Linked DNA regions of Notamacropus eugenii. The main gene of each other region encodes a partner of the protein of the gene in region 3 in a complex. Links are inferred from orthologs where the notes say so. Each region holds a gene or a part of one and is shown on either strand. Other genes may lie near its edges. The genes, in order: CCKBR, CASR, guanine nucleotide-binding protein G(q) subunit alpha and PLCB3.

Region 1 (7,571 bases), on a different chromosome or scaffold from region 3:
ATTATGACCCCACAAAATGTGCCCAGGACTATAAAAAATACCCTTAAATCAACTTTTATGATTAGTTCAGATGAGAGAGCCCAAGGGAGAAAGGTGACATAGTCATTGTTTATACTGTATGAGCTCAGGTTCACAGTTCCTCCTACTTGTTATCAACTCTAGGGTCCCTGAGGAACTTAACATCACCTTATTAGCTGTTGCAGGAAGACTTTTAGTTCCATTTTCGTCTCTGTAGTCTTAGGTCTGAGAGGCAACAGGCAGAGTGGATAGAGAGACATCCTTGAAGTCAGGGTGATCTGGGTTTGAGTTTTGCCTCTGACATGACCTGGCATGACCTGACAGAACCTGATCCTAGGCAAGTCATTTAACATCTCAGTTCTCGAGGGCCAAGAGTCTACAGTCTAAGACTATAAACTGCAGAGAAAATGCCAACCTGAATTTATAGAGGGAGTTCTTCCTCTCCTCTTCCCCTTCGAGTATCCTATATCAAGGAAATCATAGGTCCATTTCCTATCTGGGGTATGGCTAAGAGGCTATTGGGTAGGGCAGTAGATGGCACACTGGGCTTAGAGTCAGAAAGGCCTGAGTTCATGTCCTTCCTCAAATACTTACTAGCTATGTGACCTTGGGCAAATCACTTAACTTCAATTTCCTTAATTGTAAAGTGAGGATATTAATAGTGCCTTCCTTCCAGGGTTATTGAAGGATCAAATGAGATATTTGTAAAATGCTAAATACAGTGCCTGGCATATAGGAGGCACTTAATGATTGATTATTTCCTCCTTCCTATCTTAGGGGTTGCAGTATCAGGGCTTCATATGTGCATTCAAACCTATTAGGTGTATTAATGACTCTAGTCAAAGCCTGAGAGGGTCATTTGACATAGTCTATCTGTCCTAGGGATCACAAAGATAATGAGAGAAGCTGTAGGGGCACGTGAATGATCCAATGATCTCATGAGGGGCCCGCAGCAGGACATGTTATGATTCTAACCCACAGAAGTTGGGACTCAGGGAGGCCAAATCTTGTTCCAACCTACCTTTCCAGCTATATTTCATATTACTTGCCTCCTTTCTGGCCATATTTAATTTTACTCTCCTTAATAGTTCTATCTTCCAGCCAAATGAGATATTTGTAAAATACTGAGCACAGTGCCTGGTACTTAATAGGCAACTAATAAAAGCTTGATCTTTTCCCACAAATAGATTGCTATCTGTTCCTCAAATTCAATATTCTATGGGAAGGCTCAAAGACTAAGAAGTTTGTTTCTGAATACACATACACACACACGATAGGTTGAAGCAAAGGGCAATTCCTCTTCACAATACTGCTCTATCTAGGGTTTTTGTTCTTGTCATTTCCCCTTCCTTCCCCCTTTCATTTGAATGGGAAACCTAAAGGATCTTGCATGGTTGGGGAAATTATAGTACCTGAGACCTATCTCACTCTTGTGAAATTTCTTGGCAAGGTTTTCCCATGAAAAAAAATGTCATTTGAAAGCACAGTATCTCCCAAAGGAGTTGAGCAGGAGATTACAAAGAATTTCTAACCCTAAATCAAATAGTTTGCTGGGCCAATGAACTGTAATTCAGCTCCAGATGCAGAATTTTCAAGTACCTGTAGGTGTTACTTAGCTGTCTAGCTGTTCTGTGTTCCAAAAGAGCTTGGACTTTAGAAAGAAGGACCATGTTTGTGTAGAAAAAAGCTATGTACAAGTCAGACTTCAAGATTCGATGGATCCTTTTGGAGAAGAGGCATCCAAGAGTTTGTTTTTTTTTCTAATCTATATTAGGTATATGAAAGACCTTGATGCCCTCACTTAAATGGAAGTTTAATTATCTGGGCTATAAGCTAAAAGAGATAGAATCTACTTTCCCTCTTAAGGGAAAGAAGTAGTACAACAGTACCTAGCAGTAACCACATACCCAATGGAGTACCACTGAACAGAGAGAGACATACAAGACATTTTGGAAAGCAGATCCAATGGAAGCGGGTTAATGATATCACCAGAAGACATTGGCAATATTGACACATCAGAAGCCTTTCCATAAATGTGCCCTGTCCACACAAGTGTCCTAGGAATGTCCACTCTTCCCACCTTGAATACATATTTTTGTATGCTCTAGGTTTATGGGGGAAATGTTCTATTACTACTTATCTTCCTATGCTATTTCATTAAATAGCTTTGCTTTGAACTAAACATTTCCTCTGGCTGACTAGTAAAAGTAAATACATTATTAGGGGGCTCAATAACTATGGTTTTTGTGTGAATTTAGAGAGAGTCCTTTAACTTGAAGTATCTTGTCTGGAGTAACCCACATAGAAGCAAAGGTTGCCTGTAGGTACTCTTAATTCCATCATCTATGTGTGTTGTTGTTTGTCCTTCATTTTTGAAGAGGATCAATGACATCACGAGGTGATGTCTTGACTTGTGCAAAAATTAGATTTAAGTGAGTTAGAGTTATACAAAGTCGTCAGCTCTACTCTGTCTTACAAGTCAAAGGAATCCAGTGGCAAGACAAAAGTCAAGACCGCTGGTGATGGCCCAGGATGCAATGGATGACCTTGGCACCTTCCATGTCTGACCAAGCTCTAAGCTCCCCACAGCACCTGCTTCAGCCACCTTCATGGTCGTTGAAACAAATTGCCCATTCCACCAAGAAAAGTATTCACATATGTGAGGTAGACACCCCCTAACTCATCGATAGGTCTGAGGCCTGTTGGTTAACCTCAAAACCTGGTTTAGAGTCTCTACTGAGACAGTTTTACTAGGGTGTGGCCACTGCACATACTGTAGCTTCTTGGAGCCACAGGTGAGAGTTGAGTGCCAGATGGACACCAAAGGTGGATGAATAGCCCTGAAAAGGACTCGGCAAGCCCTCACACTAGAGGTGCTAATTCTCCTTAAACACCCCATATACCCAGTTTTTAGGTGTACATTATTGCAAGCTGTACCTGACATCCAGAATGGGCTCTCATCTCCCTCTGTCTTTAAGATAACTTATCTTTTTTTTTCAAGTATCAGGTTATGTGCCTCTTTCTCAGTGAAGTATTCCTTGACCTGACTCTATCATTCCTCATATTACATTATATTTACCTATCTGTGTAGATCTCTCTCTCTTAAAATACAAGCTCCTTAAGAGGAGAGATTGTTGTGTTAGCTATTGACCCTCTAGTGCCCAGGGCATTCTATTTTGCATTGAGCTCACAACAAATTGGTGAGCCAAATTGGATTGAACCTCATGCTGTGCTATGATTTAAGGGTTCCATCATTTCTGTTCCCTAAATTCTAAATCTCTAACTCTTGTTTTCTCTCTGTCTCTTCTCAATCTTCATGCCCCCATCCCCATCTCTCATTCGCCCCCCACACCCACCCTAGTCTCCTTCATTTCTGTTCCTGCCTAGGCCCTTAAACTCTGTCCCATACTCCCAGGTTCCTTAATTTGTCTTCCTTCAATGTCATTCACCCTTCCCCCTTCTCAATGGGAAAATATCTGCTGGTTATCAGTATTTCCACCTGGGACTCCTTAGCTAGAGCAAATAGGGCTACAGGCCCTAGGATCTGAGAGTCAGCAGAGCTGGGTGAGGTAGCAGTGCCAGGAGACACTGGACTAAGCCTAGGACAAAGTCTGGAAGTAAGGTGGGCATCCTTCCCACAGAGTAGGTGTCCTCCCAGCTGCATCTCAGCTCTCTTCACTTCCTGCCCTTCCCTGCTGCAACTTACCTGGGTCACAACTTTCCTTCTGAATTGGAATTCTTAAACTGCTCCCATCCTCCCATCCCTGCCCTTCTTCCCTTCTACCCTGCCCATCCCTTCAGTCCCATCAATCCTCAGTCTTTGGGGGCTATCAATCATGAGGGAAGGGACACTAATGGGCTTTTTTCCCTGAAAGATGGGGGTGGAGGGGTGGAGGAAGGACACAGTATCCCTGGAGCCAAGGAGATGATGAAGAGACTAAGGAGAGGGTTGGGGAGGGGGAGATGCCCTCACAGATAGGGCTGGAGGCCAAGGACCTGGCAAGCATCTCCATCCCTTTGGCACCCCCTCCTATTTTTCTCATCAATGCATCCCCTGTCTTCTCAGTCCTTAGGATCTGGTGCCTCTTTTTCAAGACAGCTTACCCATTCTTACCTTTAAGGAGACTGAACAAGCCCAGGATGGGTCCTGTGATACTAGAGGAGGTGAGATGAATGCTGGGGGTCACCATCCTCTCCTCACTTCACCCATCACCTTCACCCCCAACCCACTTTGGCTTCATCTTTGTCCTCCCATCCTCTGCCCTACCCTCCTCCCCGTGGGAAGCCCAGGCTGGTTATCTACATCTCCACCTGCTCCCAAGAGCAAACAGAGGGAGGGGAGAGGTGGTGGTGGCAGCACTGGCACTACCAGGTGCCAAAGGGAGCTAGGGACTCCTCTTTTACTGGTACTCTGCCCCTGGGAAATTTCCACTCATTGGAGTCCTTCCTAAGGTCAGAGTCCTTACTACATCTCAGCTCCCTGAAGTCTATCCGCTGATGAAGAGTATTTGAGTTACTGTAAAGGACTATTTGAGTTGGTGTCATTGCGCCCTGGTCTGTCATTGGGGGTGTTACTGTGGCTCTAATATTACTAGGACCAGAAGTGTGACTGGTTATGACGTTGGGGCCAAGGTATCACTGAGTCCAGAGGTGTCACTGAATAGGTTGTCACTGAGATTTCATTAGTGGCTGTTATTGAGTCAGATGTCTTTGGAGCAAAGCTATTATTGGGACTTGGGATGTCATTGTGTCTCTAGGGGTACTACTGGGGACAGCCAGGAGTTATAAGAGGGGTGTGCTGGGACACAGGATTCTAAGTGAATGGCTGTGAGCCTTCCCTGCTCCCAGTCCGCACCTCACACTTGCCCCCAAATGAAACACGACTCATTGGTGTCCCACTCTACATTTTGGTGCCCCATAGGTCAATACGGTAGCATAGCTGAAGTACAGTACAATTAAAACGTCAGATCTTGTCTCCTACCACCCTTCCTTGCCTCCCCCCGTCCCCCATCAGCAGTGGCAGCCTCAGCCCCGCGCCTGACTCCCTCCAGAAACTGGGGCTGGAGCAGCAGTATAGAGCACCTCCATCCCCCTACGCCCACCCCCAGGCCGAGCGGCCGCGCTGCAGAGAGGGGGGCGGGACCCCAGCTCTGCTTAGCTCTGGAGGAGAGGGGCGGGGCTCCCCAGGCCACCCCAGCCCCAGCACCAGCAGATCCCGCTGCGGAGGGAACGAGGCTGGGAGTCCCCTGGAAAGGGGGAGGAAGATTTTAGGGGTTTGGGGGAGCTGAGGCAGAAAGACACAGGGCATCGAATGACACTGGGAGAAAGCCAAGGGAAAAGATTTGCGGGGAGTCAAGGAGAGACCCAGGGGTAGAGAGACGGGAGGAGAGGCACACGCAAAGGGAGGGACGGAGAGACGCAAGGAGAGAGGGGGAGAAATCCGCGTGGGAGCGCAAGGTGCCGGCCGGAGGCAGAGGGCGGAGCGGACACACACCAGAGCCGGCCAGGTCAGGGGCACAGAAGCGACAGACGCGAGAGCAGGTGGAAGCGGTGGGAAACGGCCCCCTAGGTTCCCGGTCTTCCGAGGGTCTTGTCCCAGGCCCGCCTCTACCCTGGGGCCATGGAGCTGGAGCTGAATCGGAGCGTGCCAGAGCCAGAGTCCCAGTGCGGCCCGGGGCCCCTGTCCCCCAACAGCAGTGCTAACAGCGGTGCCAATAGTAGCTGCGGATCTCCCCGAGGAGGCTCTGGAGCCAGCAGGACGCCCCGAGGTAAGTGTTCCCCTTCTTTGATGCCTCTTGGCCCCATCTCTCTCCCATTCCCGTGTCCCCTTCATCTAGGACCCTTTCCCTCTGGGCCCCAACCCCCATTTCCCACCTCTCCTTTCTCCAGCTTTCTCTGCATGTCCCTTACCCCTGATGCCCCAGGGACCCTACCACAAGCTCCAGAATGCAAAGCCCAAGATCATGGAGGTGGGGTGAGGGGAGGAGCAGGGGTAGGATGGCAAGACTGTCAGAGAGCACTAGAGGAGTATTTGTGAGCCTAAAGGGGAGTTGCGCTGTTGATCAGGGGGCTAACCCCGTAAGGAGAATTCGTGATCTGCAAAGACTTAGAAGCTTTCTGCGTGTAGGGTCCAAATGGAGCGCGCACACACACACACACACACACACACACACACACACACACACACACACACACACACACACACACACACACACACACACACACACACACTAAATCTGTTGTTGAAGCTAAGAAGCTGCCAGAGCTGAGGAGGCACTAGAGGCTGAGAGGAGTGGATACCCCTGTTCACTGAACTCCAAATCTTTCGGACCCCCTCCCCCTGGAAACTGGGACCTTTCTCCCCAGGGTTTTCCTCAAAACATTTCTCTTGCTGGAAACTGACCCCACTCCCTGTCCCATGTCCTGTTCTTTCCCTTCCCCCAGCAGCCTGTCTCTACAAAAGCATGTCTGTCGCTCACCCCATCCCCATTCCAAGACTGCTCATTCCTCTCACATACACTCCTGTTACTCTGAGCTTAGTTCCCTCAAATATCTCATTCAAAATCCCTTCTTCCTCATCTCCCCTGGCTTCTTGGCCTCCCATGTCACTACCATTCTCTCCATCTCCCCACACAACCTTGTGGCATCCCTGCCACACCCCTTCATCCACCTCTGTATAGTTTTTGCCACCAGCTGATCCTCCTTGTGTTCTTGGCCTCTCTGCCCCTCCCCTTCAGAACCCCCTTCTACCTTCCACAGGCTCCTGGCCTCTTTGCTACCCCTGGTGCCTTTCACCTTCACTTCAATCACCATCCTTCATTTCCTGGAAGACCTGAGTCACCTTTTCCAAGGTGCCTTCCCAATTCGACTCCCCTTCATTCATACCCTTCATCTGGGAATCCTTCGGGGCTTATGGAAATTGAGCAATTAATTTGTCCTTGCTTGTTATTTTCTTATCTCTCTATCCAGAACATATAACTTTCCCAGGGCAGCTATATCTCTCACTGAATGGATGTTTGAATGAATGGTAAATAAAAAACCAAAAACAACTGAAAATCATAAAGTGCTACATATGTCATGTGATATAAATAAAAATAATATATTAGTTACTTAGACAGATGAAGATAGAGGAAAGATACAGAGATGGATAGAGGCATACTAGAAGCTTTCAATATTTTTTTTGGTCCAAGAATCACTTTGGTCAAAGATCCCCAGAGGAATTCCCCTTGTTCCCTTGGCATGTCCCCTAACCAGTACAATATGGTGGATTTGGAGTTTAGAGGAGACCTGAATCCTTCCTCTGACACCATCTAATATATGATCTTTGTCAAGAGATTTAGCTACTTTAGGCCTCAATTTCCTCATCTACATGATAAGGAGTTGAACTAGATGCCCTCAAAGGTCCCTTCTAGCTCTGAATCAATAACTAACCTAAAATGAGGGGGATAAAAGTCTAGAGTGCCCTCCTCAGAGGGTTGTCATGCAGGTTAAATGAGACTGTATTACAGCATTTTGCCAACCTTAAAGGTATTTCCAGTGATAGTACTAGTATG
Region 2 (7,471 bases), on a different chromosome or scaffold from region 3:
AGATCAAAGGAACATCTAAAGGTCTTGGCCTTGTCAAGATAAAAAAAAAATCACATCTTCATTAAACACTGGAGTAAAGGAAAGAAGGAGGGCTGAGGATAAGAGGCAGCATGGTAGAGTGGAGAGAACTTTGGCTTTAGGGTTGGGAGACCTGGGTTCAGACCCTGCCTTTCTGTCATTTGCTACCTGTGTGACTTTGGGTAAATTACTTAACCTTTTTGGGCTTTATTTTCCTCATATATAAAATAAGATGGTTGGACTAGATGGCCTTTGAGGTCTCTTCCAGCTCTGAGGTTCTTATCCTTGTTTGTGTCATGGATCCTTTAGGCAGTCTGGTGAAGCCCATGAGCCCCTTTTCAAAATAATGTTTTTAGATGCATAAAATAAAATGCATAGAATTACAACAGAAACCAATTATATAAAAATACAATTTTAATTATATTTTTAGAAAACAAGTTCATGGACCCCAGGTTAAGAATTCCTATGCTTTTGAGAAGAGAGAGAAGTAGAGTTCATAAGAAATGGTTTCTGTTTTCTCAGTAAAGTATAAAGCAAGGTCCTCAGATGATAAGATGGGAGTGGCTTGAAGACAGAAGAGGTTTGGAATAGTCTCTGTGGGGAAAAGGACAGATTATTATTTAGGGATGAGTAAAACAATCATAGTGCTTTAGTGAGAGCTCATTTGAGGTTCAAATAACAAAAATGTAAAAACATCAACAACAAGAGCAAAAGATCAAAGAGAACAATAATTCATAGAAGCACTTTTATGGTAGCAAAGAATTGAAATAAAGCAGTTATTCATCTTCTCTGTCAATTGAGGAAGGGCCAAGCAAACTACAGTATAATAAACAAGCGGAATAGTGGCTGACACTTATACAGCATCTACAACGTTCCAGGCACAGTGCTAAGCACTTAAAAATTACTATCTCATTTGATCCTCACTGCACCCCTGGGAGGCAGATGCTCTTTACCTTATCCTCACTTTACAGATGATGAAAGTGAAGCAAACAAAGGAAAGTGAAATAAACAGCGAAGCAAACGGAAATTGAAGCGAAAAGGTGACTTGCACTGGGTCACCCTGTTAGCAAATGTCTGACAGTGGATTTGAACACAGGTCTTCCTGGCTCCAAGCCCAGAGCACTATCCATTGTGCTACCTAGCTGCTCGATTTTAGCAGGATTCAGAGAAACATACACGAACCAATGTAGCGTGACTTCATCAGAACCAGAACACCATGACTATAGTAATGCAAATGAAAATGTCACTAAAAAGGAAACTGAATTATGAGTGACTAACTGTATTAACCATTGCTGATCACAACTTGGTGAAATATAATAAATGGAGGATGACATTGACAGGATATTGCATTTGTGTGCACGTGTGCGCATGTGTGTATGAACATGTGTGTCTGTGTGTGTAGATAGACAGATTCAGTCACAGTATAGATGGTTTTAGCTAAGCTGTTTTGGTTCAAAAGAGTATTCAGATGATAGGGGAAGGTAAATGCACAAAAGACTGTGAGGTAGAAGGGGAAAAAAAACTTATTTAAAAATAATTTTTAAAAGAAAGCTAACACCATCCTTCTTATTCCATGAAAAAAAGGTGCCACATTCATTTAAAAATCACTTAAGATTATTTTTTCTTTTCCTAGGTCTTTTGAGGAGAATTCACACACACAAACATCTGAATTTCCCCTTCCAGTTCTGACCCTTGAGTACCTATTCTTCTAACAAAATCCGACATATTTTCAAATATTCACACTAAGCATACATTCCTACTAGGAATGATTTCCCTCTCCTATTGACCATTTTGAAGAATCTTAAACTCATGTACTACAGGCACAATCAACTTTCCACTTCATAGTCAGCTTTGGGTCATCCAAAAAGGAATCTAGTTTATGTTTTCTCAGTTTTCCCATGAAATACATCTTGAAATGGCGACATTTGCCCTCTACCATGTTTATGTGATTTTATGTAGTCCTTTAAGACTTCCTTTGAATTCTCTCCCTTTTTTCTCCTTTCACACCTTTGAAAATACCGTATTTCAGAATCTTCTATTTTCTCCACTTGAGTTTATGTTTTTTCTGGGACTTGGGTTCTATCAGCACTGGTTCTTTCATCCCTGCTCTCTTTGATCTTCCTTTCATTAATTTCTTAAGATACTTTCTTTTCTTCTTCTCTATTGACTTCAAAGTATTCTCTCTCTATGTCTCTTCCTCTCTCTTTCTCCCTCTCTCCTCTCCTCTCTTCAACTTCCCTCTTTTCTTCTTCTTCTTCTTCTTCTTCTTCTTCTTCTTCTTCTTCTTCTTCTTCTTCTTCTTCTTTCTTCCTCCTCCTCCTCCTCCTCCTCCTCCTCTTCTTCTTCTTCTTCTTCCCTCCCTCCATCCTTCTCTCTCTCTCTCTCTCTCTCGCTCTCTCTCTCTCCTTCTCCATTCCCATTCCCAATCTACTTTGCTCACAGAATGACAGCATTTTAAAGTTGGAAGAGATTTAAGCAGCAATCATTTTAACCCACAACAGAAAAGAAATCACCTCCAAAGGCATACTCATCAAGTGCTCATCCACCTTTTTGAAGACCTCCACTGAGGAGGAATCCACTTCTTCCCAGGTGTCCCCATTCCATTTTTGGACAGATCTAATTGTTAGGGAAAAAATTCAATTGATTCTACACCCAGTGAATTGATTGTTATTTACTCTACATTTCTCCATCTTTTCCACAAAGAACACTAGGTCATCAAATGTTTTGCTGCAATCTAGATAAACTCTTTAGCATTCCCCTGATCAACCAGTTTGGCAGCCCTGTCCAAAAAGGAAATAAGGTCTTGATAAAGTCAAGCTGCCTCTCTTTTCAGCAAGAGCCATTCCTTATCTGGTGACCGTTTTAGTTATACTTGACTGCCAGCTGTTTTATCTGTTTCCCTTCAGCATGACATGAAATCCACCTTTGTGTCCCTGAAGTGACTTTTTGTTGTTCTCTGTTGTTATGGACTCGAGTAATTCCCCAGAATCCATTTAAGTGGGTATTACCACTAGCCATTTCATTTCTCTTGTCATTCTGGAGTTTGTAAGCTCCATTTCAACTGACCTGCACTTGAATAGATAGTTTAGATATGTCCTTCTTACTCATCACTTAATCAGTCGTGGGAAACCAGATCTCCAGACACCCTCAGTTCATTACTCTTTCCACCATTTCACATTATTCTTTTCCTACATGGTGTAGGAAACTCTCTAAAAATCTGCCTTAGTAGCGTAAGGACCCCTAGGAGGTATTGAGTTAAAAAGGGGAGGTTTTAAGAATTATTCATGCACTTATGGTTTTAAATAGAAAGAGTTATAGAACTACTTCTGACTGCTGCAAGTAAAGTTGTATATTTGCTTATATAATTCATATTCATATAGCATTTTAAAGTTTACAATGATGTTGCTCACAATATCCACTGTGTAGATAGGGCAAGTATTATTTTTCCATCCTATATATTGTTGTTGTTCAGTAGTGTCCAACTCTTCTTGACTCCATTTGGGGTTTTCTTGGCAAAGATACTGGAGTGGTTTACCAGTTTCTTCTCCAGCTCATTTTACAGATGAGGAAACCGAGGTAAAGAGGGTTAAGTGACTTGCCCAGGTTTACACAGCTAGTTGAGTGTCTGAGACTGGACTTGAATTCAGGATGGGTCTGCCTGATTCGAGGTCCGGCACCCTGTCCACTACGAAACCTGGCAGCCCGTTAGGGAATAGAAATCGAGTCGTGCTGTTGTTCACAGGTGGTTACTTAGCTAGCAAAATATCAGAACTCCGAATCCAAGGTAGGTCTCCTTACCTTCAGGTGCAGTGCTCTTTCAACTACACCAAGTTCGATTATTTCTCCCAATTTCCCCTGATCCCCTCCTGCAATAGTCCTAGAAAACTTTGCGTTGACGTCCTTCACAAGAAAATATTTCCCCACTCGTGGCCTAAAGTCACTAGTTCCAAGGCCAGGGTTCCAGTCCCTCTTCCCTTTTTGCTGATACTCAAAACTGAGTCCTTCCCCAAGGCAGAGACACTTTCACAAGATGCAGCATGCCAGAGAGAGGATGGACTCCCTTGGGTACCACATCTCGGCTAAACTCAGCTGGAATTGCTGGAGACCGCCAGCTCAGCCAGCAGCAAGCCGGCAAGCAGCAGGGGACCCTAGAGAAGCAGGCAGAAACTGGGGTCACAAAGCAAGCAATCACTCTGAGTTTCTCGGATGAGAACGTGCGCCCAATCCCAGGCCACAGAAAGGATAAGGAAATCCTTATCCCTATAAGGGAGGCGCTGGCACTGGTTGAGGGTTCAAGACTGCTTGGTGTCTGAAAGAATCACACAGGTGAGGGAGGTGTGGTCTGGACCCAACTAAGTTCGAGGAGACAGGCAGACAAGATATTGGATAAGGCAGAGAGACGACCTGGGGAAGCAGTCAAAGGATCAGGACAGTAGATTCTTGGAGAATGAGACTCTGGAAAGTAAGGGAACTTAGGGGAAAGCCTGAGGGAAGGAAACACATTGGAGTGAGAGCGCGCACTGAACAGGAAAGGAGGCGGGGCGGAGCTTTGCAACGAGCTGGGGAAGAGGAGCCCGAGTGAGGGTGGCGAGCCTGCTTGGGGATTGGCTTTCTCTGGCCTCGTTCTCCCTGTCTCTCCCGCTGCTTGGGAGAGAGAGGAATACTTTTAGGCTTCGGCAAGAGATGCTGTTTGCCAACCCGGAGGGACGGATAAGATGGAATGGGAGGCAGGACTGAGCCGGCACCTTTCCCAAGAGGCAGTGAACTTGAAGGTGTAGGAAGCCAGGTGAGCAGTGCTGGAGGAGCATCCCCGCGCCCTGCCTAGGGGGATTTGCGGTCAATCCTTCCTAGTACTAGAAACCTGCCGTCCAACCCGCATTCTCGGATCCGCCCGGCCAGGAAAAACCAAAGGAACCCGCTACCTTCGGCCACCTGTGGGTGCAGTGGAACCCTGGAGCGGGGCGCCTGGTGAGTGAATGGAGGGGCAGGAATATTGATCAAGATGCGAGAAGAGGGTGGTGGGATGGAAGGTGGGGGAGGTGGGGAAGAAGGGGCGTAAAGGGTTTTGTTTTACGGTTATAGGGAGTCATGAAAAAAACAAGAACGAGTTTATAAAAGCAAACGGGGATCGCTTAAGACAACTGACACCAAGTACAACTAGGGGTTTTCCTGGGGACTGTCGGGGCTGATCTATTAACTGTCACTGAACTAAGGCTTTATTTTATAGATGAAGAAACTGAGCTATGAAGTTATGTTCCTTTGGACAAACTCGCAAAAAAAAAATGTCAGAAAGGGACCCCATTGCTAGACTAGGACAGGGACTGAACCTGCGCTTTCACTGGATAGAGGGATCTCCTAGATGTGGGAATTCTATTTAAGAAATCAAGTTGTCTGTCACCTTCTCTTCTAGTTAAAAGTCTGGCCCAGGGCACTAAGAAAATAAGGGACTTATCTGGCTTACACGGCCAAGATGCGTCAGCAGCAGAACTGGAACCTAGATTTTCTGACTAGAATGCCAGGTCTCTATCCAGTTCCCTCTCTTCCCTTTAATTTTAAAAAATTAAGTAGATTTCCATTGCAAAAGCAGCTTCTTGCTTTCCTGGGCTCTTTTTCTTTTGGCTATTTGCAAAATAAACTGGCTTTCACCAGAGAGGAAGAGAAAGTCTCTCTTCTTTCCTTGGGCCCTGCACTGGTGGGGCTCCTGGGCCAGATTTCACACCCATGCAGGTGGTCCCTGACCTGTCTTAAGGAATATTGAAATTTCAAGCCCCAAGAAAGGTTGCCATATGATTCAAAAAGTATATTGTTACTCTTTCAGAGCGTGGGAATTGAGAGGCTTCACGACGTGTACTTAGAATCATGGAAATCTGAATTAAAATCCTGCTTCAGACAGTTATTAAATTATCCAATCTTTCTGGGTCTTCATCTATAAATATAAGAGTTTGACCCAATTGTCCCTGGGGTCTTTTCTAGCTCTAAATCTAAGTCTCTGAACTACTTCAGCTGTACAATACTTGGCCAAACATGAGTTTTCCTCAGTCATAGAATTTTAGAACTAAAAGGTTTTTAATCTCTCTCTCTCTCTCTCTCTCTCTCTCTCTCTCTCTCTCTCTCTCTCTCTCTCTGTCTGTCTATCTCTCTCTCTCTGTCTCTCTCTCTGTCTCTCTCTCTCTCTGTGTCTCTCTCTCTGTAATTAACCCCTTGGCAGGCTAGCGAAGCTTATGCATTCTTTCTCAGAATAATTTTTTTTAAATTCATGATTGAAGGAAATTCTAAATTTCAGTTAAAGGTTAATGAAAATAAGGGCGTAATTTTTCTCATCCAAGCTCACAGATCCTCTGAAATCTAAGAACTCCTGATCTTATTTCTAGGTTTTGTAGGTGAGGAAATTGAAGCCATGAGGAAGGAAGTAACTTGTCTAAGGTCACATAGCTAGTAAATGGCAGAACCAGTTCAGACCCATGTCTTCCGAGGACAAATCTGCAGATGAGTTACACATTTGCACTGGAATTTTCACACAGGAATTTCCCCATAAAGATAAAATCATGGATCTGGCCAAATTTTTTTTAAAAGTTGTCCCATAAATCCTGTGTTTATACCATTACTCATTTTTATGCTTTTTTGTTTTTCATTTGCCTTTGTTTCTAAGTTAGATTGACATAAAGGAAGACAATAAAAAAGGGGGTTATTTTTCCAGACTGAGATTTTGGATCTGTTAGAATGTGATTCTTCTACGAAACCTTCTGCATTCTGTGGGAATGAATAGGGCTTCTGAAAAACGTAGAATGTTTCATGAACTGGGAGAGCAGTAGTAGAAGAAGAAAGAAAGTGGTCTGAGTGATCTTTCTGAATGGCAGGGAGCTATTCCAAGGGCTAACTGTCTTAAGTACATACTTGTTCTTGTACTAAGTGACTTCACTGACTGAATTTGCAGAAAAGGAAGAAATATTTATTGTCCTAGGTTGGGATAAGCCCAAGGTGTTACTTAGCTGAGGAGAGAAAAAATTGAAAGGGAGGAATTGTTGGGGTGGATGGCAAAGTGGGAGATTAATGAGGAGTTGAAACAAGAGATCTGATTTAGAAAGTTCTCCTGTTTTCTTGAAACCAGAATAGCATGGGTGCTATTCTATAATATTTGGGCAAAAACTATTTTTTTTTACTGTTCACTTTTCTGTAGAAATGAAGTCATTCTTCAGAATCCTACCAAAGACTAATAGGCGTGTGTACATTTATAGTCTACATCTATTTGCTTCTCTGTCTCTCTTTCTGTCTCTCTCTGTCTCTCACTCTGTCTCTCTTTCTCACTCTCTCTCAACTTTTCTGAGCCTCAGTTTCCTCATAACTTCTGTGAGACTTCAATGGGATACTACACTAAGAACTTTGTAAACTTTTAAACACCATATGAATATTACTTAATAACTCTGGAACTTTGGCCAAGTTACTTAATTTTTGC
Region 3 (7,847 bases):
CCAGCCCTCCAGTCAGAGGGAGGACGCAAATGAGGAAGTGAAGACGGTGGTGAATCTCAAAAACCTGAGTCATCTGCATGCTGATGAAGTGATCAGATTATCCAGGGGATAGAGGATAGGGATGGGGTGCCATTGGGTTTGGGAAGAGAGGAAAAAGCTTGCAACAGTAGCTGTGGCGAATGAGACAGGGAGTCAATAATGGAGAGCAGAAGGAATATTGAGTAGCAGTAAAGGTTTAACTGAGGTTATGAACCATACATTTGTAGTGGATGGAATCAGCTCAGTTTTATCACTTTCTCCAGCAATGCTCAGCAGCTTAGACGAAGTGGAAAAATCACATGACAGGAATTATCCAGAGACGAGAATTTGCAGGTCCAGAATGAGGGAAGGTTTGGAGGCAAAAGATTCTAGGGTAAGTGGTAACTTGTGAATCATTAAAGTGGCAGGTAAGGGGGCATGAAGGAAAGTAAAGACAGAGTGGGAAAGATGGAAAACAGGGTCAAGTGACCAAGGGTCATAACAAGGGTGAAGAGCTGATTTTGTGAATTGAAGGAGTGGGAGAGATACAAAGAGAGGTTAAAAGTTTCAAATCTTGGAGGTAGTAATAATAATTCTGAGAGATGGTGAGTGTATGCCTAAAGGAGGATGAAGAAGAAAACTATTGTAGTTGGGGAGGCTGAGTCATTATTTGGTCTTGTTGTCAGAGCAGTCTTTTCCTTAAACATTGAAGTATGTGAGGGTAATGGCAAAGGGGTGGGGTGGAGAGGAATACTATGAACATAATGCTTGTCACTGAGGAAAGTTGGAAGAATACACTGAAGGATCCATTCTTCACAGATGTTAGACATTTATCAACATATAAAAGTAAATCCTTTTAATACTTGAAAGAGGAAATACTTAATATTTAATTAATACTTAAATTAAATACTTACTTAATACTTAAAAGAGGAAAGGTCAGGGAGAGAAGATTGGTAGATAGATATGTAGAAGTTCAAGTGAAAAGGATCACGGGCACTGTTCCTACCAGTTCTAAGAGTTTGGAGAATGGAGAGGTTTAGAGGGATGTGCTGTCCTTAGGAGAGAGTCGATTTTAAGTTAAAATGAAGAGATAGAAAAATGTTGGTTGTCAAATTCAAGGATATACTGCAATTTATTGAATTTTGAGTGTGGTGTAGTGAGATTAGTTCTGAAGATGGTAGGTAGACAAGTGAGGTAATATAATTGAAAAAGCTTTGGAAACTCTAAATCACTATGCAAATTTAAAGTATCATTATTAGGCTCAGACCTGGAATTTTCCTTCCCCATGGAGAACTATTATTCTCTTTCTCCCTCTCCCCACCCCCCAGTTCAGTTTTGTTCCCTTTTATCTTGTTTTAATACTGAAGTGCCATTTTCCTCCATCTTAATACTTGTAACACACAAAGGCAGTCTTCATCTTGACTTCAAATACTTGTATAAGGCCCTGTCTACCCAGTCCTGAAACAATCATTCAATTTGCTTAATTCAGTCAAGTAATGGGTTAGATCAGTCAAAGTGGATAGTTTCATGCACTGGAGACTTTGTAATAAGTTTCCAATGGTCCCTGCTCCCTTAGATCACCAGTCATTGGTTTTTGTGGGTTCTTGATCCTCATTTGATTTCCTGGTCTTTTGGAATACACACACATGTACGTATGTACGTATGTATGTATGTATATACATACATATATACACACACATCCAGACACATACATATGAAACATAAATATATACAAGAACCATATATATGAAAGAAAAATCATAATTAAATTTTCTTCCCTGCAGTCATTCTAAAATTCTGCAATATTGAATTTGAATATTTAATCGCATTAGTCACTTAATTTTAAATTTTAATTTCTTATCATGTGTAGCAGTCATTTATTAGGGCTTTAGCAGTGCGGGAGGAGATATTTGCCTTCCTCATTGTCAGGCAAGATGGATTTTTATAGATCCCTTTTGTCTATGACTTAAAAAAGGCAGTAGGGAACAAGTGGAGCATGGGGCTGGTAGATCCGAGAATCTGAGAACTTGTCTGATTTTCTTCCTGACTTGTCATATATGGGGAGTGAGCAGGTTCCAGCCCCTAAAAACATTGAGATGATGTTTGTCACCTTGTAGAACCCTTTGTACAATTCTGCACCTGTGGGAGATTCCAGTGGTAGTATGGCAGTGAAATCTCTTGACATCCCAGGATGAACACATTAAAACAGAGAAATCTTCATGAAATAAAGCTTCAGTGAAAAAGGAAGATCCCAGGACACATATTACCCTTAAAACATCAGATTCCAGTAAGCAAGGAAGGAGTAGTTTCACTTCTTGAGCTGCTGGATCATCCAAAACTCGAAATTCACAGGAAGTCCTACCCTGTTATCAGTAGAGTATCAGGACAAAGTAGCCAAGCAACATCAAAACAGTGTCAATCAAAACTAGAGAAACAAGAAATGGGAAGAAATTTTGCTGGAATGAACGTTTATTCTGCTGTTTATTTTTTGTTTCATTGTTTACATTATTCAGTCACACATAATTTTGCATACTTAAAGAGCTAAGCTGTCATTAATTCTTTGTTTTTCGGGGAGAGGGAAAGAAGAGAGAGAGAGAGAGAGAGAGAGAGAGAGAGAGAGAGAGAGAGAGAGAGAGAGAGAGACAGAGACAGAGAGACAGAGAGAGACAGAGAGAGAGAGAGACAGAGAGATTGAGAGAGACAGAGAGAGAGACAGAGAGAGAGACAGAGAGAGAAAGAGACAGAGAGAGAGAGAGACAGAGACAGAGACAGAGAGAGACAGAGAGAGAGAGAGACAGAGACAGAGACAGAGAGACAGAGAGAGAGAGAGAGAGAGACAGAGAGATTGAGAGAGACAGAGAGAGAGACAGAGAGAGAGACAGAGAGAGAGAGACAGAGAGAGACAGAGACAGAGAGAGAGAGAGAGAGAGAGACAGAGACAGAGACAGAGAGAGACAGAGACAGAGAGAGAGAGAGAGAGAGAGAGAGAGAGAGAGAGAGAGAGAGAGAGAGAGAGAGAGAGAGACGAGGGGAGGGGGGAGACAGAAAAACAGACAGAGACACAGAGAGTGAGACAGAGAGACAGATAGAGAGAGAGACGGAGAGAGACAGAGAGAGATTTCCTAACATGTTCAAACGGCTGGCATGATTTCCAAACCAGAGGGGAAGCTGGTAAAAAAAAACACCAAAAACAATGAATCTCAGGGGCATGAAAAGTTACAAACGTTGCCTGTGAAACTCTCGGAAACTTCAGCAGTTTCATTTCTCGGCTCAGGATTTCATTTCAATCAGAAGTAACTTTGTGGAAGATTCCCCTCCCACCCTGCCGGTGGGGAATGAATTACAAATTTGGCCCCCCTTCAGCCCCACCCCACGATTCCAGTCGAAGTTTTCCAAGGATGGCCTAAAGGTGGAGGTGGTGTGAGGTGGTTTGTAATTCAATGGCATTTTTGAAACTAGGATCTTTTTTTTAAAAAGTATTTTTTGTAACGCTGCCCTCCAGGACAAAAACGCCCCTGTTCCTCGCGGCCATCGGGGGAGCGCCGCGCCGGTGGCAGACTGGCGGGGTTGCTGGGAGTGGTGTTTGCTTTGCAAGCCTGTCCACTGGGTTTGGAGGCTGGAATTCGTGGGATTTCCAGGAGTGTGTGGAACTAGCTGTATCTGTGTCTGGTGGGCAGAGAACCGAGAGCGAAAGCCGCCATATTTCTGCCTTACCACGCCCGGGAGGCTAAGCCCTGGCAAAGGCAGGTTCGCGGCCGCAGCTGCCGGTGCTGGATTCACACAGCCCACCGAGGGCGGGCGGCAGCGGGCGCGGCGGCAGGCGGTGGCCTCGGCAGCCCGAGCCTCAGCCTCCGGCCCTCCTGCCGGCTCCTCCCCCTCCTCTCAGCCGGGGCCAGCGGGCACAGCCCCGACAACCGGCAGAGGAGGCAGCAGGATCAGCACACGGAGAACCCCACGGGGAAGGGGTCGGGGAGGTGACGAGAAGTGGAAGAATCCCCGGCACAGAGACCCGGGAGGAGGCGAGCGACACCACCTCCTCCAGCCTCCAGTTTCACTACCATCCCCACCGCCGGCACCTCCTTCTCCTTCTCCTCCTCCTCCTCCTCCTCCTCTCCCCCGCGGGCGCCGCTGCTGCCGCTTCCCTCCCGGATCTGGGCTCCAGTTGAGAGAAGAAAATGTGTGTGTGTGGCGAGGGGGAGGGAGAAAGCTGATCAGCCACTCACCAGGGCCGGGGGGTGGGCATCTGGCGGAGAGCAGAGGAGGAGGGGGAGGGGAGGGGGAGGAGGGAGGGGAGGAGGGCCAGGAGGAAGAAGGGGGGTGTGTGTGGAAGTGTGTGAGTGTGTTTGCGCGCGAGCCCGGGGTGGGTGGGAAAGGGATCCCGGCGGGTGTCATCTCGGATCCAGGGGGGCGCAGGGGGAGTGGTGTCAGGCGGGGCAGGGGAGAAGGGTGCGCTCGGTGTCTGTGCCATCGCGGCTGCTGCTGCTGCTGCCCCTGCTGCCGCTGCTCCTGCTGCTGCTGCTGCTGCTTCTGCCGCCGCCGCCGCAGCCGCGAAGCTGCTCTGGTGGATGTTTCTGTGTGGCTCGGTGCATGATTTAGAAGAGGAGGAGGAGTTGGATCTAGCTAGTGACAGAGGCAGGAGGCAGAGGGGGTGGGGGGTGGGGGGAGGTGGTGGTGTTCTGTGAGAGAGGCCGGGGGAGCGGGCCTTTCCCCCTCTCTCCTCCTCGCACCTCCCGAACCTCCCTTCCACCCGCTGGTGCGTTCGGGCCCCGCCGCCGGGATCGGGCTTCGCCGGGCGTGCGGTGGGCGGCTTCGGGAGTCTCCCACCTTCCCCTCCCCTTCCCACCCTGCCTTACCCCGGACCCCCCTCCCACCCCCAGTCCCTCTTCCCACCCCCAGCCCAGGGGTTAGCTGCCGCCGCGGCCCGCGGCGGGGAGTGAGGAAGGAGCGCGCGCGCGCGTGTGTTTTCTGGGGGTACTGGGGGGTTGTGTCTGAAGCAGTTAGGAAGAATGACTCTGGAGTCCATCATGGCGTGCTGCCTGAGCGAAGAAGCCAAAGAAGCCCGGCGGATTAACGATGAGATCGAGAGGCAGCTCCGCCGGGACAAGCGGGACGCACGCCGGGAGCTGAAGCTGCTGCTGTTGGGTAAGTGGGAGAGCCGCCTCCCCTCGCTCCCCGCCGACTTCCCTTCCTTTGCCCCAGCCACCGCGGCTCCCTCCGCCTGCCCTCTCCTCCGCCTGCTTCCACCCTCGGGGCAGCTGCCCTCCGCACCCCCAGCCGCTGATGTGCTCCCCCAGCACCCCTCCCCCAGCACCCGACACATACACACATACACACAGCACACCACCACGCGCGCGCACACACACACGCACACATACACACACGCACACACACACACACGCACACGCACATACACGCACGCGCGCACGGTGCCCTTATGGAGTGGATCTTTCTGTATGCCTGCCCTACGCCCCCCAAGTCCCCCTTCCCCCGTCTTCACAGCTATCGTGGTGTATGTGCCCGGGTATATGCACACCCAAGGGCTATGCATAGTGTATGCGTGTGTATCAGATGTGGACACAGTGCAAATGAAAGTCGTATCATGGCAAGAGGGGGCAGGGCATGTGGATTTGGGGGTGAGGGAGGGGGAGTGAGAAATAGGGATTCAACTCCCAGTATCTTTGCCTGAGCTCTGTGGGAGCGTGCTATTTCCGTTAGGATAATTGGAGTCGGGAAATTGTGTTCGCGCACATATATCGCATCTACCGTGGATCATGTTCTATGTAGATCCCTATATATACATTTATGTACAAACATATTATCTATGTACAATAGATACTACAGGTCTGTGCTTCCCTGGGTGCTTGTATTAGGAATGCATTTTGGGGTGTAGGGAGGCTGAAACAGTGGGCTTCAGAAGGAGGTTCGATGTGGTGACATGGAGGAAGGGGATGGTGGTGGTGGCTCTCGGAAGCTAGGGCAAAGGAGGCTTAAAGTGAGATGTGAAAAAGAGGCGGCAAATGTTGTAAAAGAACTGAAATTCTTTTGCAACCTGGCGACTAGAGCAAGAGCGAGAGAAGATGAGAGCTTCTTGATGAAGGTTGGGGGGCAGGCTTCATTAGCTAGCTTCCCCGTCCTTCCAAAGGAAAGAGACTTGGGGTCCGAGGTGTTGGGGTTTGTGGTGGTGAGAGTGGTAGAGGTTGTTGATGTGATGGAAGCTTTTGGTTTCATGTGGCTTATCAGCCACATGAAGGACTCTCTTTAGAACAGGTCCTAACTGGAATCAAGAATCCAGTCCTCAGCTACTCTGTGGAGCAGAATAGTGACCTATTGTGTGTTGGAAAAATGACAGTGATTTAACACCTCTGGAACTGGCCCATTTGGGCCAGAAATAAAACGGGCAGAGTATAGGACAGTTTCCCATTCACCAGGGGGAAGAAGTGAACCTTCCAATTCTGCTCTGTTAAGGGGATTGCAAAAAAAATGTCCTTTCTCAGATAGGAATCTGTAGTGATGCTTTCTTTGGACAGTGTTTTAAGCATTTTAAAAATCAAGAGATTAGTTTTCACATGCAGTACAGTGTGACACAATTCTTAATTACTGTGACAGGAACAGTATAGGGCTTTGGAATAATAGGCCTGAAAAATGTCTGCCATAGTGTTATGGATACTTGTGTGTGTTGGAAATCCATTACATAAAATTTTGTGTTGGACAAAGATTACTGTTATTAAAGAGTCTAAGAAACACATATCATCTTATCTTGAACATTCCATCTTCTTTTGCAAAGAGCTATTCTGTTGTTGAAGCCCTATTGTTTATGTGCTGGATCAATTAAAGAGGAGGAACAAAATAGAATAGTGGCAGAAAGATACAAATGGTTAGTTATACATGTTGTAAAGAAGCAAGCAGAACACGTGATTCACTTTGGAACACGGTTAGACAGATTTGCACATGCTTAGTTTAAAGAGAATGGAAGGCAGAGGGACTGAAGGATAAAATGTGGGCTTTAAGGTAATAGAATGAGGGATGCAGAAACCAAGACTTCATGATAAAGACTGATTCAAATTGAGGGCTACTTTTTTAAGGGCTGAAATTGAACCAACTGGATAGATGAGATATTCTCTACAATGAGGAAATGTGTCTCTTGTAGAGCTGCCTCATTAGAAAGCATAAATGTGTCATTTTAAACTTTTTCATTTCAAAATGTATTTTTTCACCTGACCTGCATTGTGCCTTGAGTTGTGTCTGTTTATGGTTTGAACAGCAGGTTCCAGGGTTTCTAGCCCTTACTCTAGATAGTGCAACAAATGTTTCAGTGGCTGGACTTTTCAGGACTTTCTTGAGAAGAGCAGAGGGCAGACCGTGTAATGGCCTCAGAAACTTGTCCCAGAAGGAAGATTTTAGTTACTTGTAACTATGTATTCTATTTATTTAAATAGGCCTGCTTTGTTTTTAAATGAAAGTTAGTGGTGGTTTTCTAGGAGAGGGGAAGGGGAAGAAAACAATTCACATCTACTGTACTTCTCTGGACTAGAGGGTCTGGGGAACATCTGCTGTGACTCCCCCACCCCTCTTTTCCATCCATAAGTTGAATAAGCTTATTAGAATTCCCTTCCACCTAATTAAAATCTCCCCCTCCCAATTAGCAATAGTGGTGTAACCTGAAATTAAAGTTTAGTCTTTAAAATCATGAAGATTTAAAAGTTACATAGATCACTGTAACACGACCCTATAAAGTAGAATTGTCAAGTGATTTTTAGCTTCATATATATCATACATGATTTGTGTAACATAAGCATCCTAAAATAGCTATCTTTACTGCTTTATACTAC
Region 4 (7,766 bases), on a different chromosome or scaffold from region 3:
GGCTATTCTGGGGAGGAGAGGACTTGGATGTTTCCTGTTCAGGGGTGGGGAAGGGTAGGAGGTTATTTCCTGTCCAGCCAGGCCGTGGGAAGGGTCAGCCAGCTTAGGAGGCCCCTGCCCTAAGGGCTTCAGGAATTTGGGGTAGGGGGCAAGGATCAGGGGGCTGCAGTATGGAGGAGGGGCCAGAGCAGCTGGGCCTCAGAAACACATGCATACCATGTTGGGTCCAGTCCAGTAGAGAAAGAAGCCATTGGGGTCCACTCGGAGTGTGACCAAGTTCCGACTAGAAGCCTCCTGGACAGTAAGGAAAGAAGGCAGTAAGGGGACAGGCCAAGGGGGACAGTCTGGTGACCAGACAGGACCTGGCGAAGACCTTTGGGGATCACAGTCCTACTGCAAAGACTTCTCTGGGATGGAGAGAGCTCCAGGTCTGGAGTCAGGAACACATACATCATCATTCGTTCAAATCCAACCTCAGACAACTAACTGTGTGACCTTGGGCAAGTCACTTCACCCTGCTTGCCTCAGTTTCCTGACCTGTAAAATGAGCTGGAGAAGGAAATGGCAAACCATTCCAGGATCTTTGACCAGAAAACCCCAAATGAGGTCACCAAGGGTCAGATGTGACTGAGATGACTGAACTCACTACAGCTCTGGAGCAAGGTGGACAGTGGCAGCAGGCCCAGTTTACAGAGATTAAGGGTCTTGCCCAGAGTCACACAGCCAGTTGGAGTCTAAAGTCATCTTCATAACAATGCTGTGGGGCAGATGCTAATGCTGGACCCATTTTACAGATGGGGAAACTGGGGCTCGTTGGAAGTAGAGTTGACTTGACCAGGGTTACCAAGCTAGCAATCATTTCAGCCAGGATTTCCAGGTCTTCCTGACCCACAAGTCTAGAGTTCTTCCATTCCTTCCTCCCCTCCCCCCACACACCTTTCCTACCAAACCTTCTGCAAAGATCTGTCCCAGACAGAATTAGGCTGGAGGGTCAGCCTCTGACTCTAACAGCAGTTCTGGGCTGTTAAGAGTCCCAGTCCCAGGGCCCTGCCCAGTGAGACTCTGATACACCAGGGCAGCCTAGGGGGGAACCACAAGTTTGAATTTGAATCCCCAGACTAGCTGTGGGGCTCAGCAGAACAAGAGGTCCCCGAGGGGATGGGAGCCAAGTACTCCCAGCTTCAAACCCCGGCCCCCCAGGGCTCCATCCCTCATTCCCCCTCCCCCATCCTCTGCCCCACCCCACCCTTGCTGCTGGGCAGATTTACTCAACCACGGAGGTCCGAGTAAACGGTACAGACCCCTAGGGTGGAGCAAAGGGAAAGGAGCAGGAGGAGGGGGAGAAGGGCCAGCCTGCCAAGTGCCAGGCCAGCAGGCGATGTCCAAGACCGAGAGGCAGCCCGCTCAGCCCCCAGTCCACGGTGACAGCGACCTCTGACCCCATAGGGAGCAGCTTGCACAGCAGGGGCCAATCCCAAGGACTGGGGGGGGGAGGGGGGGCGGTGTGTGTGAAAAGGTAACCTTTCTCCCCCAGGTGCTTTCTGTTCTCCGGGTCCCTGAAATCCTCCGCTTTGCCCTCCAGTCCTAGAAGTCGGCCTTAGCACGGTTGTGTTTATAGAACAAGGGGTCCCTTCGGATGGGGGTGGCCGTATCACGCATCCATTGCCCCAGACCTCATCGACTCTCCGCGTTCCTGCTTGGTCCCTCAGCCCCCCCTTTCAGATTCCCCAGTTTCCAAGGCAGCCCCCCCTCCCCCCCAGGCTCACTCCTTGGTTTCCACTTCCTTATTTGGGTTTATCACACCAGAAGGAAAAGGAGAAACTTTTTCTAACTTTCCTGCCCAAGGCCTCCCATGGGGGGAGGGGGCTCCCCCAGACCCAGAGCACCCTCTCCCGACCCCCTCCGCAGCACCTGATTGCTCTCCCGGCGGAGGGCCCCACCACACCTGTTACCTCTGGCCACACCCCCAGGCCCCCTCCCTCTGCTCTCCTGGCCACCCCAAAGCTGTAGCAAGCTCCCCCAGCCCCACCCAGCCGGAAAGGAAAAGGGAATTCTGCCAGGCCTCCGGCCCAGCTTGGCTAGGGAGGGAACCCGAGGGCCTGGAACTGGGGCAAGGTTGGGGTGCTTTGCGACCCGGGAAGGAAGCTGGCGGGTGGGAGCGGGCAGGGGGAAGGGGGAGGGTCCCGCAGGAAAGGAGGTGCAAAGGCTGTGGAGAAAAGGGTGGAATGGGGAGAAGGCAAAGGAGGAAGGCGAAAGAGCAAGGTACAAGCTAGCGGGGCGCCGGGAGACGGGGGACTCGCGCGGGGCAGAGCCCCGGGAGCCTCGAGCCCTAGTGTTTGGAACGGGGGTTGGGAGGGGGGTTCGACGGCGCCCAGACAGTGGCTGCGGCCGGGGGGGGCCCAAAGAGGCTGAGGAGATTTATTGGGGTTCAAAGTCTCTTCTCCAGCGAATGGGAGGAGCAAAGTCCCTGTTAGACTGCCCCGGCACAAGTTTTGGGGGGAAAGAAGCCAGACCTCCCTCCTCAGTTTCTGGGGGGTAGGAAAGGGGGGACTATGGGGACTGTCTGGACAGCAGCGCGGGACGGTCCCCCCTAGCTCCAGGGACTGGGGGGAGGGAAAGGCGACGTGGGAGGAAGGCACAACGAGGCCCTGGGAAGACGAGGCAGCGGGGGGCCCCGGGCGGGGGATCGGGGTGCAGAGGCCCGGCTGGGGGCCCCCGGAGGGGGTTCAGGGTGAAGAGGCCCGCCCCCCCCGCCCTGCGCTCACCTCGTCCCACTTGATGAACTTGCTGCCCCGTCGCAAGGTCTCGGGCACGGCCGGAGGCTCCAGCTGCAGCGCGTGGACCCCGGGCCGGGCGCCGGCCATGGCTCCCCAGGGGGCAGGGGCCGGGGGCCAGGGCGGAGGGCGAGCCGCACCGGGCTGGGGGCTCGAACCCCGACGGTCCCGGTCCGGGTCCGGCTCCCCGAGCCTGAGCGCCGCGGCGGGGGCAGCAGAGGAGGAGGAGGGAGGAGGAGAAGGAGGCAGCGCAGTCCTGGACTTTCTCTCGGGGCGGCCCGGGCAGGGCGGGGCGGGGCCGAGGTGGGGCGGGGCCTGATCAGGCCCCTCCCCTCCGGCTCCGCTGCCTTCCCAGAACCCAGGAGTCCAGGGCTGGAATGCGGCTGGGGCAGGAGTCCTCGCCCCCTGGCGGCCAGACTCGGACGGCCCGGTCCGCAGTGCAGGGATCGGTTCCAGGCTTCTGGGGTCCCGGCTGGGCTCTCCGCCGGCTCGCTCCTGCCCCCACCCCTACCTCCCTTCGCCTCCTCCTCTTCCCTCCCCCAGCCAGCCCCCTACCCTCTATCCTTCCCCTTCCCCCCAGCCATCCCCCAGCTTTTTCTTCCCTCCTCCAGCCAGCCCCCTACCCTCTATCCCTCCCTTCTCCCATCCAGCCATCCCCCTACCCCTTTTCTTCCCTCCCCCAGCCATCTATCCTCCCTCCTCCTCTCTTCCCCAGTCATCCATTCCCACCCCTCTGTCCCTCCCCTCCCTCAGCCAGCCATCCCCCCCAGCCCTCATCTCCAGCCCCCCCCTTTCCATGATCGGAAGCACTCAGCTGCCTCATGGCCCTTTCTCCCCACAGAACCTCAGAGGCCCCGGGAGCTCCTGGTCCCCAAGCCTCAGTGCTACCCCGAGAGCCCAGATAGTGTGAGGCTGTAACAACTGGCCCTCTGTTCCCTCTGCTTTTCTTGCTAAATTTGTAAATCACTGGGTTGTGAACCAGAGAAGGAGGTCACTTGCTGCAAGTCACACCGCAAGAAACTGAAAGAACTTTTGGAACCAGTCTTCAGATCGCATGGCCCAGCACTCTACACCAGGGACGCCAGACCCATCCAACCTCAGGCTTCCTCCCCAAGCTAACCCTAGTGTTTCTGCCCCATCCATAGTCGTCCTGTGGGGAAGGGGACACCACCCCCAAATGGTCTAGCCCTGAGGCCCTGCACCCACAGGGGAGGGGGTCCGAAAACTCTGGGGACCCAGAGAAACAATGGAGTCTTAAACTTGGGTGTGGGTGGGTGTGTCTGTGGCAGCCCCCACCCGAAGATTCTGGAAGCCACCTAAAAGGTCTAGCCCAGGAGCTTCAGATCTAGGGCTAGACACCACCCCTGCCCTCCAGGAGCTAATGACCTAGGAGGGAAAAAAGCCCTCCAGCAGAAAAATAAAGGGTTGGGGGCAGGGAGGGGGTTAGATGGGCAGGACGATAGCGCCCCTGCTCGGAGCGCATCTGCCTGTGGGCCCCCGCCCCCGAGCCAGAGCTGGGGCTGCCAACGGGACAGCTCTAGAGGGGCTGAACACAAATTCTGTGCAGGCCACAATTTTACCTAAGGCTGGACCTAGAAACCCAGAAAGACAGGGAGTTGGGGAGAGGGGGAGGGTGGCAAGGTCTCCAGCTGCAGAAGCAACAGGAGGGCTCCTGCCTGCAAAAAGTTCCATGCTGGGGGGGAGGGGAGAGTGTTGTACTAGGCCCCCTCACCCCACTACTTCAAGACCTTAGGCCAAGTTTTTGGCCTCTCCTTTTCTGTAAAAACAATAACAACTATTCCTCCCATGTCTGCAGTCCCTTAAGGTTTGCAAAGCCTTTTCCCAAGCACAACCCTTTGAGAGAAGTATTATGGGATGATTATCCCCATTTTACAGATGAGGAAACTGAGGCCAACAATGACTTGCCCAGGGTCACACAAACTTGTCTGAGGTCCAATTTGAATTCAGGTCTTCCTGACTCCAGACTGGGAGCTCTATGCACTATGGTGCCACCTAGCGGCATCTCAAGAAAGACCTGGTTTCAGGTGCTGCCTCTGAAGTATTCTGACTGTATGACCCTGGACAAGTCACTAGCCCTAAGCTGCCTGTTTACCAGGCCTGCTTCTGTGCGACCTCAGGACACTCCTGAGGTCATAAATGGCTGACCTATTGGCTCGGCAGAAAGCCCTAGGATCCCCCAGGAAGTGAGAGTGCCTTGGGACTCCCAGGGGAGGCCCCTGTCTGGGAGAGGATGCTCTGCACCCTCCCACAGGGCCTGGCTCCTTCCTTTCCTCCCTGCAGGGGAGGTGCTGTTGGGGCGGTTCCCGGACACAGCTAACCACAGGGTTCCTGGACCTCAAGTCCAATTGCTTCCAATTTTCTTTGCTAAATTGCCTGCTGTTAAGCATCCCTGTTTGGCACCTACACATCAGAGCCTTCCCAGATGGAGGGACCTCTGAAGGCATCTCCATGAACTGACTCATCTTTCCGGAGAAGGAAACTAGGGATAGAAGAATTCTCATTCCTCCTGTCCTCCCCTGCTGACAGCAGCCCTCTGTGGCAGGTGCGGCCATGCCCATTGAGCAGAAAAAGAAACTGAGGCTAGAGAGGCCAAGCCTGTGCCAGAGCCAGGACCTGAAGCAGTTCTTCCGGGTCGAGTCTGGCCTTCTTGGGACACCTTGATGATGCCCAGCTTGGTGAGGAGAAGGCATCTGGACAAAGCTGCCAAGGTTAGTGATAGAGCTGGGCCTAGAAAGCCCACTCAGATCTTATGGACTCTGAGGCCAGGACTCCCGGGGAAATCAGATGCTAAGGCAGGATGGAGAGAGACAGCTCCCAAGCCACTTCAGTCTGTACTGGCATCAGTCCAAAGACTGAAAGGAAATGTCCTGACCTGGGGGAGCTTACATTCTCCTGGGGGTACAGGAGGGACTTGGACACAGGCTCCAGGTTAGAACTGGGAGATGTCTTAGAGATCATCCCATACAAGCTGCTGGGAGAAGGTTGGGGGTCCCACAGCCAGGAGCAGGGCTTGAACCTAGTCCTTCTAAGGGAGAGATTCCTCCCCAACACATCCAGCCTACCTCCATGGCTCCCTCAGTCCCACAGCTTGGGGTGGATTAGGCCTCTGGAATGACCAGACACAATTCAGTTAGTAGTAGAAGACCAGGTAAGGCTAAAGACTGGAACCACGCCAGAGAGATGAAGATGGGGTGGGGATGGGGGGAGGGGGAGGGGGAGAGGAGCCAGAGACACAGAGAGAGAGAGAGGAGAAGGAAGGGGAAAGGAGAAAGGGAGGAGAGATGAGATTCTAGGTTCCAGGAATGCTAGCTCAGGGTTCTAAGCCCAGTCCAGAGGGTCTGGGAAGGAACCAGGATTTAGACCCAGTGAGAAGCTGCCCTGGGCAGAAGCAGCAGGTTCAATTAGTAGAGTCAAGGGAGACAGGTGAAAACTCTGCCTCTGCCACTCACCACCTATGTAATCCAGGTCAAGTTACTTAAGAGCCTCAGTTTCCTCAGCCTGTAAACTGAGAGCATTGACCTCGACAGTCTTTATGAGTCCTTCAGGCTCTAAGTCCGTGACTTTAGGAGATACTTGGGTGACCTGGGGTAAATCTCTCTGCTGCTCTAAGTCTCAGTTTCCTAGTTTGCAAAATGACCATCTTTAAAACCTTTCCATCTCTAAATCTCATTAAGGTTCAGGGAGGCTAGGGAGGGGAAGGGAGGAATTTTCTGGAGTCCCTGAGAAAATGGTGCCCTTAGCAGATAGTTGAAGAGTTAGTGTTAATTCTCTAGTGAAATGGGTCCCAGGGGGATTACCATTACAGGGCTTTTTCTTCTCTGGACACTTTGTCAAAACCCCGGTAATGGTGATGGGCATCCTGGTAATGATGGAAGAGAGAGGCCTGGTGCCTTCCAGCCTCAAGAACCCCACCCAAGTCTCCCTAGAGCCTCTGGCAGCTAAGCATTCAGCCACATTAGCAAGATAATATGAGGATGGGGGAAATGGGGGGAGACTGGAGCTGAGTAAATCAGGATGTGGGAAACCTGGCTCTCTTGGGGAAGTACCAAGAAACTTTGAATCCATTTGCCTGGTTCCTGGAATGGTCCAGAATGGGAAGATGCCTGGGACCAGATACAGATAAAAGGAAAGAATTGGGAGTTGGGGAGAGAAGTAGAATCAGGATACTGGGGTGGCCCCAAGGCCTGTCCCCATGGATGAGCCCAAAGAAGAGGATTTCTAGGGCTTGGAGCATGGGTAGAAGTGGAAAGCATGAAACCAGAGGAGGGGTGGGAAGGTTCAGTCACACTGTCTTGGAACATTAACTAGGATGGAGTATGAAGGAGAGGAATAACTGAAAGAGGAAAAACGAGGGATTCTTGCTGCCTTCCAAGAACCAGGGTCTGCACTGGGCCGGGGGTAGCGCCCTTTGGCACAATGATGGACTTGCTTTTTGTTTACCTGTTCTATCTCCACCAGAATCTTCTCAAGAGCAGAGGCTTGGGTGGGGGGAGTTGAACCCCCAGTGCTTAGCACAGGGCCTTGCATGCTTAAGAAATGTTTGTGGCTTTTTTGGAGTGAAAGTGGAACCCTGAGTCCAAAACCATTTCACAGATGAAGAAACTGAAGCCGAGAATTGAAGTGACTTGGCCCAGGTCAGGCAGCTAGTCAGAGTCAAGATGAAAATCTAGGTGCTTAGCCCCCAAAGTCACTGTTCTTGCTCCTCTCCCACACTGCCCCTTTGATGGCAGCAGAACAAGCACCCACCCAGACTGGGCATGACCTGCCCAGACAACACTCAGGTAGGATTAGTTCCAAGTCCAGGGTCTAGTCCTCGGTTCTGGCAGATTGAGGAGGTCAAGGTCGGCTTAGAACATCAACTGGACTCTTCCCAGGTCTGGAAGAGCCTTCCTGGGAACCAGAGGGTCAAATGATGAATTTATAACCAGAGAGAAAACCAGAGTGCAGCATCCATCACCTGGCCTGGGCCTC

What was found.
Region 1: the proteins of guanine nucleotide-binding protein G(q) subunit alpha (region 3) and CCKBR are in contact, whole or in part, in a cryo-EM structure (PDB 7F8W), measured with the Homo sapiens proteins. The link is inferred for Notamacropus eugenii from reciprocal best matches to the Homo sapiens genes GNAQ and CCKBR. Residues at the interface, in NP_002063.2 of Homo sapiens: Arg30, Arg34, Asp35, Arg37, Arg38, Leu40, Ser198, Val199, Phe341, Lys345, Asp346, Ile348, Leu349, Gln350, Asn352, Leu353, Lys354, Glu355, Tyr356, Asn357, Leu358, Val359; in NP_795344.1 of Homo sapiens: Thr87, Val88, Thr89, Asn90, Glu151, Arg152, Ala155, Ile156, Pro159, Leu160, Ala162, Arg163, Val164, Trp165, Gln166, Thr167, Ile241, Leu245, Gly248, Leu249, Val331, Leu335, His394, Arg396, Phe397.
Region 2: the proteins of guanine nucleotide-binding protein G(q) subunit alpha (region 3) and CASR are in contact, whole or in part, in a cryo-EM structure (PDB 8SZG), measured with the Homo sapiens proteins. The link is inferred for Notamacropus eugenii from reciprocal best matches to the Homo sapiens genes GNAQ and CASR. Residues at the interface, in NP_002063.2 of Homo sapiens: His63, Leu196, Gln197, Ser198, Ile323, Tyr325, Ile337, Arg338, Phe339, Phe341, Ala342, Lys345, Asp346, Ile348, Leu349, Gln350, Leu351, Asn352, Leu353, Glu355, Tyr356, Leu358, Val359; in NP_000379.3 of Homo sapiens: Lys644, Ala645, Asn647, Arg701, Val702, Leu704, Val705, Phe706, Ala708, Lys709, Ile710, Pro711, Thr712, Phe714, Phe801, Arg873, Thr876, Ala877, His879, Ala880, Phe881, Val883, Ala884, Arg886, Ala887, Thr888, Leu889.
Region 4: the proteins of guanine nucleotide-binding protein G(q) subunit alpha (region 3) and PLCB3 are in contact, whole or in part, in a cryo-EM structure (PDB 8UQO), measured with the Homo sapiens proteins. The link is inferred for Notamacropus eugenii from reciprocal best matches to the Homo sapiens genes GNAQ and PLCB3. Residues at the interface, in NP_002063.2 of Homo sapiens: Pro185, Thr186, Thr187, Ile189, Glu191, Pro193, Arg202, Gln209, Arg210, Ser211, Glu212, Arg213, Arg214, Lys215, Trp216, Ile217, His218, Val240, Glu241, Glu245, Glu249, Glu250, Ala253, Leu254, Arg256, Thr257, Ile258, Thr260, Tyr261; in NP_000923.1 of Homo sapiens: Pro257, Arg258, Leu259, Asn260, Glu261, Val262, Leu263, Arg707, Asp709, Lys710, Ile719, Asp721, Gly722, Ile723, Val724, Ala725, Ser845, Asp846, Tyr847, Ile848, Pro849, His852, Tyr855, Ala856, Ala858, Leu859, Ile860, Asn861, Pro862, Ile863.

The regions. Positions count from the first base shown.
Region 1 is NC_092876.1:89,304,769-89,312,339, reverse strand, and holds the start of CCKBR (gastrin/cholecystokinin type B receptor), read left to right. Parts: upstream 1-4,500; 5' UTR 4,501-5,638; coding exon 5,639-5,786; intron 5,787-7,571. UniProt on the Homo sapiens protein: Receptor for gastrin and cholecystokinin. The CCK-B receptors occur throughout the central nervous system where they modulate anxiety, analgesia, arousal, and neuroleptic activity.
Region 2 is NC_092876.1:343,420,501-343,427,971, reverse strand, and holds the start of CASR (extracellular calcium-sensing receptor), read left to right. Parts: upstream 1-4,418; 5' UTR 4,419-4,986; intron 4,987-7,471. UniProt on the Homo sapiens protein: G-protein-coupled receptor that senses changes in the extracellular concentration of calcium ions and plays a key role in maintaining calcium homeostasis.
Region 3 is NC_092872.1:67,954,868-67,962,714, reverse strand, and holds the start of guanine nucleotide-binding protein G(q) subunit alpha, read left to right. Parts: upstream 1-4,735; 5' UTR 4,736-5,024; coding exon 5,025-5,160; intron 5,161-7,847.
Region 4 is NC_092873.1:17,094,070-17,101,835, reverse strand, and holds the start of PLCB3 (1-phosphatidylinositol 4,5-bisphosphate phosphodiesterase beta-3), read right to left. Parts: upstream 3,075-7,766; 5' UTR 2,865-3,074; coding exon 2,766-2,864; intron 295-2,765; coding exon 217-294; intron 1-216. UniProt on the Homo sapiens protein: Catalyzes the production of the second messenger molecules diacylglycerol (DAG) and inositol 1,4,5-trisphosphate (IP3).